Kluyveromyces lactis: one gene and its partners. The protein of the gene in region 3 interacts with the protein of the main gene of each other region in a biochemical or structural test. Links are inferred from orthologs where the notes say so. Each region holds a gene or a part of one and is shown on either strand. Other genes may lie near its edges.

Region 1 (3,729 bases), on a different chromosome or scaffold from region 3:
ACATAATTTAACAAGCTCCTTTCACCTTTTACTCTGTCGTCCTACGTTAGCATCTCGTAGTTCCATTAGTCGTAGTTTCAAAAAATCTTGTAGATCCTTGTTCTTCCTTGTTCGTAGTAACATATCTTCAGACGTAACAACATTTCTGTTAGCATGTTGGGCAAAAGCTTCCAAATCACCACCAACCTCACATATCTGCTGGTAAACCAGTTCAGTAAGAGTGTTGACATATTTTGAATTGTATTTTACATCTTCTGGTAGTTCTCTTTTGATAATCGATTCCACATAGAACCACAGCTTCCCGCGTAACTGGGATCGTAATCTCTTCTCTTCATCCATATTTGATCAACTGAACGACGCTACCATGAATAGAGCCCACAGGACAATGCCAAGTCAGGAATTGCCAGCTCAAAACTCTAAACGAACTGCTCAATCGATTGTAATCTTGTATATCTTGCATATCTTGGATATCTCCGCATTCCCAATGCATATCAATTATATTCATGTTTTCAACAGTTTCCAGAATAGAGGCAATTTGCATATATATAACGAAGACAACAGAATGTTTGATATCAGATAAATAAAAGATGGAGATTACAAAGAACAGCGTTAGAAAGTGAGGCGCAAACGTTTTTCGTGAAAATTACTACTTGACGAGACACTAGTGAGGTGTATGCTTGTGAAAATACGAGTCAGGTTATCCTTTTGCTCGAAACTGATAACTTATAGAGACATCTTGTTTTAGGTATTGCAAAAGAATAGGTTCAACAAATGAGCAAGTATACGTTGTCGTTCGGTTTGCTTCCGTTAGAACTGGATTCTGATACGAAGCATCTTTTGCCCATCAGCTCAATTACAAACTTAGATTCTACTGTGATAACTACTGGACGTGATGGGAACGTAGTTATTGAAGAGACTCAGACGAAGTTGGCTGTGCATAGCGATTGGATCAGTGGCATAGCTTGCCTATCTGCCGCCAAATTTTTAACGGTGTCTCATGATTTCACTATCTGCTACAACTGGAAAACGACTATTTGGAACCATAAGATTGTCGGCTACCATGCTGACTATGTGAAGGGGATAGCTTTAATAGGATTAGAAGACATGAAATGCAGATACGCCACGGTAGGTTTGGATAAGAAGCTAAAGATCTGGGAACTGGATCTTTTTGAGGTGGAGAACGAGGAAGACGTTGAAGCTAAATTACTTGGAAAATTCGATAACACCACGCATCATGATGCAGGGTCTATTTATTGCCTGACTGCTACGAAGGACGTCATTATCTTTGGAGATAACGAAGGCCGTTTAAGCTGGTACGATATAAATAGTTACAGTGTGATAAGAACCATAGATGACGCAGCTGGTGTGAACTTAAAGACTTTGAAGCTTTTAGATGATGAAACAACCGTTCTTAGTACAAGCGCAGATGGAGAGATCAAACTTTGGAATGTTGAAAGTGGCAAATGCCTTTGGACCAAACAGTTGTCGCACGCAATATGGTCGGTAGAAGGAACGCTTTCTAAAGATTTATTTCTTGGCGACTGCATGGGTAATATAACGCAACTTCAAGGTAATCAGATATCTGTTATCTACAAGCCAAGCGATTGCGACACAAAAACAGGTGGCATTCTGGCAATGGCCATTATAGAAGATGTGTTGTGGTTCTCCAGATCAGGAAATTCGGATCTAAACAAGTTGAACTTGTTGAGTAAGAAGCTCACGGTTATAGAAGGTGGCCATGCACTAGTGCGGTGTTCTTTGTTGACAAACCGCAGACATGTCATCACGGAAAATACATCCGGTGAGTTGGAGAAGTGGGATATTGTTTCTTGTGAGCTGGTTGAAAAAATCAGCCGAGACGAAGGTAATTTCGATGAGGTGGTCAGAAAACTGAATCCCAAAGAAGTCTTACAGCACTGGTGCTCCGTTTCGATAAAACGAGGCATTCTTTTTGTAAAGATCAATGAACGTTTCCTGAATACCGAAGTATACGGAAGTGCCCTCACCGATTATGTAATAGTCAACGAGGATAAAGTTGACGAAATTAATTTGGACGAAAGATACAATTTGGGTCGTATAGCTGTCAATTCATTATTACATGGTTTTATTGATTATGAATTGGCGAAGGATAAGAAATTCAGAGAAGATATTTCTTCCACAAAGAAGCAAACTCCTCCATCTACTCCAAATCTATTAAGAAGACACAACTCAATGGCCTCTGACCATACGAACCCTGATCAACATAAAGACAACAAAAGTATCAAGGAGAAAAGACGATTATCTATATTTACCAAGTTCACTCAATCAAATAACACTACCCCGCAAAGTTCGGCCCCCAACACCCCCAATGGTATACCTGACGTCCCACATACATATCACGGCATAATCGAAGAAAGCGAAGATGAGATGGGAATGATGTTACCTGGCCCAGCAACTGCTCTACCTACTTCATCGAAACCGGCGAACCTCACTTTGACAAGGTCTGTTACTGAACAAAGTATCGAGAGATCTGCTACACCTTCAAGCACATTTGGTTTCCATAACAGATCATCGAGGGTAAAACTAGAAACTAACAGCATCGATGACCTTCATAGTATCTCTTCTACTGGGAATGGTGAAGTGAACTTCAAATTCAATTCAAAGAGTTTTTCCAAAGATCTGTCTGAACGAAAGCCAGGACTTTTCTTGAACGAATATATCGAAGAAGTTTATCACGCTTATTTGAAACAGGCTCCAAACTCCTCATCAACGTTCATGAAGTTTGGGAGGCGGATCCCCGAGACTTTGTTCATCAGAGACTCAACTAGACCCGTGATACAAATCAAGAGTGGATGCATTCTCACGGTCAACCATTGGAAAGAGGGGTCCACAGGGGAAACTATTGCATTTTCCACATATCTCCCACCCCCTACATATACGGCAAACGACTTGATCGATAACTACCATACTTATGAATCATTAGAAAGACATCTCCCGATATGGCTTGGAAAGATTCTTTTCAAAGAGGATAAAGTCATTAAGACGTACCCAAAAATCACATTCATCATCCAGCCTTGGAAGGACGAGGCTCATTTATCGGAGGAAACGCAACAATCGCCAGAGGCTGAAAGACTAGTAGTAGAACATAAAAGATCAGGGTTCCACAAAAAATCTAAACCACCTGAATCACCCTTAATGCTACCGAAGATTAACGATAGCAATGTTAGATTAACAGCTGCAAATATGATAAAGGCAAAAAAGATCAAGACTTACATAGTGGATAGATTCGAATCAAAGACACCTGAGATGAAAAACAAAGAAGATCCAAGCGAATGGTTAGAAATCTTGTGCAAAGGAACAGTACTAGAAAACGATATCACCCTGAGTGCTATACGCACTTTATACTGGAAATCAAACACAGACATTGTTCTTGAATATAGACGTAAACCGACTTAAAATTAAGAGAGACTGTGAGACTAAGTTCTCACCCAGGCTTATCAATATATATATATATAACTAAATATAGACATATATACAAACATAGAACTACACCTGCCGCCCTTGACTCAGAGCATTCCATACCAACACAAGACAGGCACGTGACTGAAATCATGAAGGACGAGTTTGATGGTTTGGCTCTGTTTCCTTCTTTCATCGCATTGAAATTTCGAAGGTTTGTTGAAGTTTTTCTTTTTCTTTTCAGCCAAAATTTTCCAAAATTTAGAAAGCGATGAGAAACAAATCCATTAA
Region 2 (2,920 bases), on a different chromosome or scaffold from region 3:
CCAAACAATAGAAGACCCTTGACATGGGAGATGCCTAACTTTTCAATAACAGCTGGAGGGAAAATTCTGCTAGCGAATGCCCTTCTAAAAATCTTGGTAAATTCGCGGTCTAAACCACCAACGCCTAAGTCTTCAAATTTGAAATCAGGTCTAATAACGGCATCCGATCTTGGTCTCAGCGAGTTGGACGATTTCAAATTAACCAATCCATCTCTTCCTTTGAAAAAGTTTATCTGAGTTTGTTTGATTAAGATTGCCTTAGCTTCAATTGAGGTAGAAACCGGAGCTACAATTTCTACATCTCCCAAATCAATAGTTTGCGTTGATCTTACTCTTAGATCGAAGATATGTCCCTTAAACTCGAATATCAAGTACTGCGTTGGTGAGAATATTTGGGATTCAAAACTCTTTAAAAATTGCTTAGCAAGTTCATCTTGATCAAAAGGAGTCTCCACGGCTTTTCCTCTAGACCTGAAACTGATTTCCAGATCCACAGATCCTAGATACGCATGCTTGCCCGAATGTTGGAATAAATCGTACGGTTTCACCTGTACATCTTGATTCAATGACCAACCTCCCCAAGTACGTTGGTTACCATTAAATCCAATGGTACCAGGTTGAGTTTCGTTAGAGTGTCTTGTGGTAAACACGAATAAGTTGTCTATAATAACGTAAATATTCTCTGGTAAATCGCTTGGTGAGACAGCTGCCACATTAGCCAATGCATAACTGTTGTTTGGACAGTTAGCGACACGCAATTGTCTAGTACTCATATTAACATTAGACATATCAGGTACCCCTGTAGAATGCGTGGCCTTTCCAAAAGATGGCAACTTGCCACTCAACCCGAATTTCTCCATATTTCAAAAGGGGCGCAATGACACTTATAGCTTTCTGTGAACTCTTGGATTGTCAATTGAAGAAAAAGAATATAATATTCACTCAACTGTATAGTTAGCTTTTAAAGATCTGATAACGATACCTTATATTACTTAGTCTTCTCGTACTGTTTTCAGGCAATTGTCTGTCTAATTGTAGGTAAAGTATTGTTTCTCACCTATTGTTTCCTCGATTTCATGGTTTTTTTTCAGAATGTATGCTGCTAACATTAGGAATTTGTCAACAGAATCAGTTTTATAACAGAAAGCACATCATTTTAAGGATGAGATCATGAAAGCACAATAGTGGCTGTAATCAATTGTCCAAGACAGTAGAGCACTCTGTGAACACAGCAGGTTATTGGCTGCTACATAGAAAATCAGCTGAATTTTTGACATGACTACTGGTGCTCTGGTGGCAGGGCACGTCGATGGTGAAACGATGACTGTCACTGGTTCTTCGGATAATGCAAGGAGAGACAGAGACAGATGGCGGAATGGTAATATTTCCAGTCAGTTTGTGAACGAGTTTGGCGAGTGGGAAAAGGATGAGAATGTGACGCAGTGTCTAAGTTGTGGGATCAAGTTTAGTTTTCTAGTGAGGCGTCATCACTGTAGATGTTGTGGCAGAATTTATTGTGCTACTTGTTGTTCAAAATTCGCATGGTATGATAAAAACCGGGTTAAAGTGGTTTTGAAAAGTCCAGCAGAGTATGAAATGGAACCGTACAGGACTTGTGATTCCTGCTATGAAAATCTATTACAAATGAAGCTACTGAGAACTGCGTGGGGTGAAATACAGTTACCGAAACCACCAAGACGAATCGGAAATTCTATGGGATCTACTTCCGAAATCAACTCCATCCGATCATCGTCCATAAGGCCTTTTGAATTTATGAAGAACCAAAACGTTGTGGAAAATGTACGAGAAACTGAAAGCGAGAGAAATAGTCCCAGGAATATACATGCTGCTGATGAAGATTACGATCGATGTCCAATTTGTAATTTTGACTTACAAGTTTTCGGATCAGAAGAAGCAGCCCAACAAGAACATGTAAGCGAATGCATACGGCAAGCAGAACTTGCTCAACAGCAGCATAGTCTTATCGGAAGTCCAACTTACCAGAACAGAATGCTCGTATACCAAATACCTAAAAACGCTACGAATATTCAAGAGTGTCCAATATGTTTCGAAGAAATGGCTCCAGGACAAAAAGTCGGTAGGCTAGAGTGCCTATGTGTGTTTCATTATCACTGTATAAAGAGTTGGTTTAAGAAGAAGGTACAAAAATTAGCTACGGTGAATTCCGCAACTCAGGACTCTGTCTCCATGCTTGGTAAAAACTACTGTCCATTTCATGACGCAGTATACTACTAATGTGCTTTTTAAGCCGTTTAATATCCAATACTAATAACTACCTAATACATAATTTGCATACAGCACAAACTTGCATACAATATCACATATATATATACCTTCGCTTACTATAAAAGCCACTTGCAGTTACTTGTCCGTCATTATCTATCACTTGACCTAAAGAAAGTCAAAATGTCCCGAGTGTTCCAATTTCTTTGGTCCTTTTGGTTTGCCTGCCAGTTTACCACACTACCCTCCTCCACTCCTCCTTACTGGCCTGGCTGACTGCTTAGTAGACGAAAAGGATGGCGAAAGACATGTGGGAAACAGGATGGCAACACGACACATATGAGAAACAGATGCGAAACACATACTTAACGAAATGTAGCTTTGGGCTGAAAAGAAATTAAAAGAGACTCTTAAACTTCACGTATGCAATGTAATGTATGAGTGATGATGAGATGAGATGAGATTAAGAATAAAAAGATTGTGGGATAACAAGCTACTTTGGGAGACGTACAATACTATACCGTGTGAGGTAAACTAACTTTGTGTCATGGTTAAGTGTGAGGTTTGTGGTGATAAAGAAGCACTTTATAGATGTCCAAAATCATCGGTTAGGTATTGTTCGTTAGTTTGTTACAAGAACATAAAGAAGTCAGAATCAGATAATGTAGAAAGTAAT
Region 3 (3,303 bases):
CAGAAATTCGAAACCAGTAAAAAAAAAAAAAGACGCTTATGAGACGCAGGACAACAGAAATAAGGGACACCTACAAATGTCATCTGAAAGATAACGGTAAGTTTGCTTTCTAATATTTTTGTAAAAAGATATCAATACTTAAAGCTAACTGATATAATGCAAATGTAACCCCATTAGTAGTTGTACTATTTACTTTTGCCTAAAAAAAAATTCCTGTTTTTGTTTGTGCTGTCTCCCCTTTTCACTATCGATACGAGAAAAAAGTACAGAAATTGTTGCATTTTCTTCTAAATTCGACTAAATTAAATGCCGCTCAATCGCCTACGGCAGCCTACATGCCTATCAGAGAACTTCTTGGACTCCTTACTTAATGAAGTCCCTTTCCTCGGATGCTGAATGGAGAAAGACCATACAGCTCAATATGATGGAAAGTGTCACCTGAGTATACGACAAAGGCGTTAAGAACACCGCTATCATAAAAAGAGTCGAAAAAAAAGTGTCATCTAGGACTATAAGACAAGTAATATCGAAGAGATTCTGGGCAGTCCGAATTATCCCGCCAGGAACCTCAATGACAGAGATATTTGGCCTGGGTATGTTCCGGGAGCATCTGAAAGGTCAAGAATGAATTTAGGAGAAGCCAGGCAGATAAAATATGATGTATGTTACCCTGATTTAATCACGTGGATGACTTCGAGTCACTTTTTTCGTCTGTCTGTATCTTAGATTCTCCCCGCAAGTCTAAAAAAAAAGGATAAACTTCATTGTTCCATGAGTTTCCATGGTTACCTCTGCATATACACACTGTACTGCAGAAGGTATCAGTGGATACAAAGCGGTATGCTCTTTACTCTGAACAATCAAAGTTAGCAGTTCATTCCATATATCCCCGCTCTTCGTCATGCAATCATAAACCTCAAGTCATGGCGATCTGTAAGCCGGAGAAAAGATTCATTGCAAACAGTTAAAGATACAAGGCTGAAATACAGAGATGGCTGCAACGTAACAGATTCCAAACTGCCGGTTTTCCATCGAATTCCCTCTCGGGAAATTTTTCTTTTCAAACGGCCACCTTAGGCCGAGCGAAACTGATTACACTGGATGCTTTTATATAAATAGTGATCACTTGGGCGGCCGCCTTTTTTTCTCTCGTATTTGCCACTTCTGATTGTTCTTTCCCCCGTTTATTCTCTAAATACGTTTATCTTTTTCTAAGATATTATTCGGGTTAGATACTATTACTACCTATATCGCATTCATATATCTATTCTGAAAGTTTGGACAGCATAGCAGCTATCATTATTGTTCTTATTTTCATTTTTTGTGCTATATTCTCCGTTATTAGTAAGAACTGATAGGGAGATAAAATAAAAGAAATAAGCGAACAAGTTCCTTTTTTTTTAAAAAAAAAAGGGAGTATATATAAAAACAAAAGGGTTATTTTGGCAGTTTGTTTCCTGATATTATTAACAACATCATATTGGTTAAGAAGGAGCATCAAGAGTTTCTCTCATAGAAGATACTGACTCAAGGTTATACTATTTCACCCCAAATTATTTACCCCCCCCCCTCTCATTCCCCTTAAAACTAGATCAAGAGAAAACATGCAAATTTTCGTTAAGACTTTAACTGGTAAGACTATCACTTTGGAAGTTGAATCTTCTGACACCATCGATAACGTGAAATCGAAGATTCAAGACAAAGAAGGTATCCCTCCAGACCAACAAAGATTAATTTTTGCAGGTAAGCAGTTGGAAGATGGCAGAACCTTGTCTGACTATAACATCCAAAAGGAATCCACTTTACATCTTGTCTTGAGATTAAGAGGTGGTATGCAAATTTTCGTCAAAACCTTGACTGGTAAGACCATCACTTTGGAAGTCGAATCTTCCGACACCATCGATAACGTCAAGTCTAAGATTCAAGACAAAGAAGGTATCCCTCCAGACCAACAAAGATTAATTTTTGCAGGTAAGCAGTTGGAAGATGGCAGAACCTTGTCCGATTACAACATCCAAAAAGAATCCACTTTGCATCTTGTTTTGAGATTAAGAGGTGGTATGCAAATTTTCGTCAAAACCTTAACCGGTAAGACCATCACTTTGGAAGTCGAATCTTCCGACACCATCGATAACGTCAAGTCTAAGATTCAAGACAAAGAAGGTATCCCTCCAGACCAACAAAGATTAATTTTTGCAGGTAAGCAGTTGGAAGATGGCAGAACCTTGTCCGATTACAACATCCAAAAAGAATCCACTTTGCATCTTGTTTTGAGATTAAGAGGTGGTATGCAAATTTTCGTCAAAACCTTAACCGGTAAGACCATCACTTTGGAAGTCGAATCTTCCGACACCATCGATAACGTCAAGTCTAAGATTCAAGACAAAGAAGGTATCCCTCCAGACCAACAAAGATTAATTTTTGCAGGTAAGCAGTTGGAAGATGGCAGAACCTTGTCTGACTATAACATCCAAAAGGAATCCACTTTACATCTTGTCTTGAGATTAAGAGGTGGTATGCAAATTTTCGTCAAAACCTTGACTGGTAAGACCATCACTTTGGAAGTCGAATCTTCCGACACCATCGATAACGTCAAGTCTAAGATTCAAGACAAAGAAGGTATTCCTCCAGACCAACAAAGATTAATTTTTGCAGGTAAGCAGTTGGAAGATGGCAGAACCTTGTCTGACTATAACATCCAAAAGGAATCCACTTTACATCTTGTCTTGAGATTAAGAGGTGGCATCTAATGGTAAAGATTTATTTCATATTTCCGATTACTGGAGTGAAACTCGATAGGGAGTTTATTAACGAGCTTGAGACCACGCAAAGCCGTTGTATCATTTATACTCAATTCAATTTTTTTTTTTTTTGCATTTTTTTTTTTTCCTTACATTCTTTGGATAAAAAGTTTAGGGTCTTGTATATATTATATACATTTTCAGAGATACATAACAACTATGATAATGTTATAAATAGTAGAAGATAGTAATATATCATCCGTTGGCAATTTCTACTGAGATATTCCAATATTTAAAGCTTCAGCTTTCAATACTGAGGAGTCATCCACTCTAAGAATCTCCAAAATGCCAAAGTCGACCATGGTATTGGTGTGGGGGAACTTTTCTTTCAATAGCCCACCATACCTTATCAGCTTTATCTTGACACTTTCAATAACTTCTTTCTTGTTGCATAGAGCGTGGCCATATTTCCAGATATCAATGAAAATGTGAGATACATCATTTGAGGAAACTTCAGTTTTGGTCCATGGTGTAATGAGAAGAATTGCTACGTCAAAATAGG

The links.
Region 1: the proteins of UBI4 (region 3) and DUF1 form a complex in vitro, tested with the Saccharomyces cerevisiae proteins (2 studies listed by BioGRID, with this or other methods). The link is inferred for Kluyveromyces lactis from reciprocal best matches to the Saccharomyces cerevisiae genes UBI4 and DUF1.
Region 2: of the proteins of UBI4 (region 3) and PIB1, one has a biochemical effect on the other in vitro, tested with the Saccharomyces cerevisiae proteins (3 studies listed by BioGRID, with this or other methods). The link is inferred for Kluyveromyces lactis from reciprocal best matches to the Saccharomyces cerevisiae genes UBI4 and PIB1.

Annotation. Positions count from the first base shown.
Region 1 is NC_006042.1:1,965,602-1,969,330, forward strand, and holds DUF1 (Duf1p), read left to right. Parts: upstream 1-771; coding exon 772-3,435; downstream 3,436-3,729. Other genes in the region: MHF1 (Mhf1p), read right to left, coding at 22-339. UniProt on the Saccharomyces cerevisiae protein: Ubiquitin-binding protein involved in the resistance to phenanthroline, sanguinarine, nordihydroguaiaretic acid (NDGA), isopropyl (N-3-chloro-phenyl)-carbamate (IPCPC) and guanosine 5'-O-(2-thiodiphosphate).
Region 2 is NC_006039.1:1,270,940-1,273,859, forward strand, and holds PIB1 (phosphatidylinositol-3-phosphate-binding ubiquitin-protein ligase), read left to right. Parts: upstream 1-1,275; coding exon 1,276-2,256; downstream 2,257-2,920. Other genes in the region: AAA family ATPase SEC18, read right to left, coding at 1-860; HIT1 (Hit1p), read left to right, coding at 2,792-2,920.
Region 3 is NC_006041.1:74,395-77,697, reverse strand, and holds UBI4 (ubiquitin), read left to right. Parts: upstream 1-1,604; coding exon 1,605-2,750; downstream 2,751-3,303. Other genes in the region: ECM29 (Ecm29p), read right to left, coding at 3,014-3,303. UniProt on the Saccharomyces cerevisiae protein: Ubiquitin exists either covalently attached to another protein, or free (unanchored).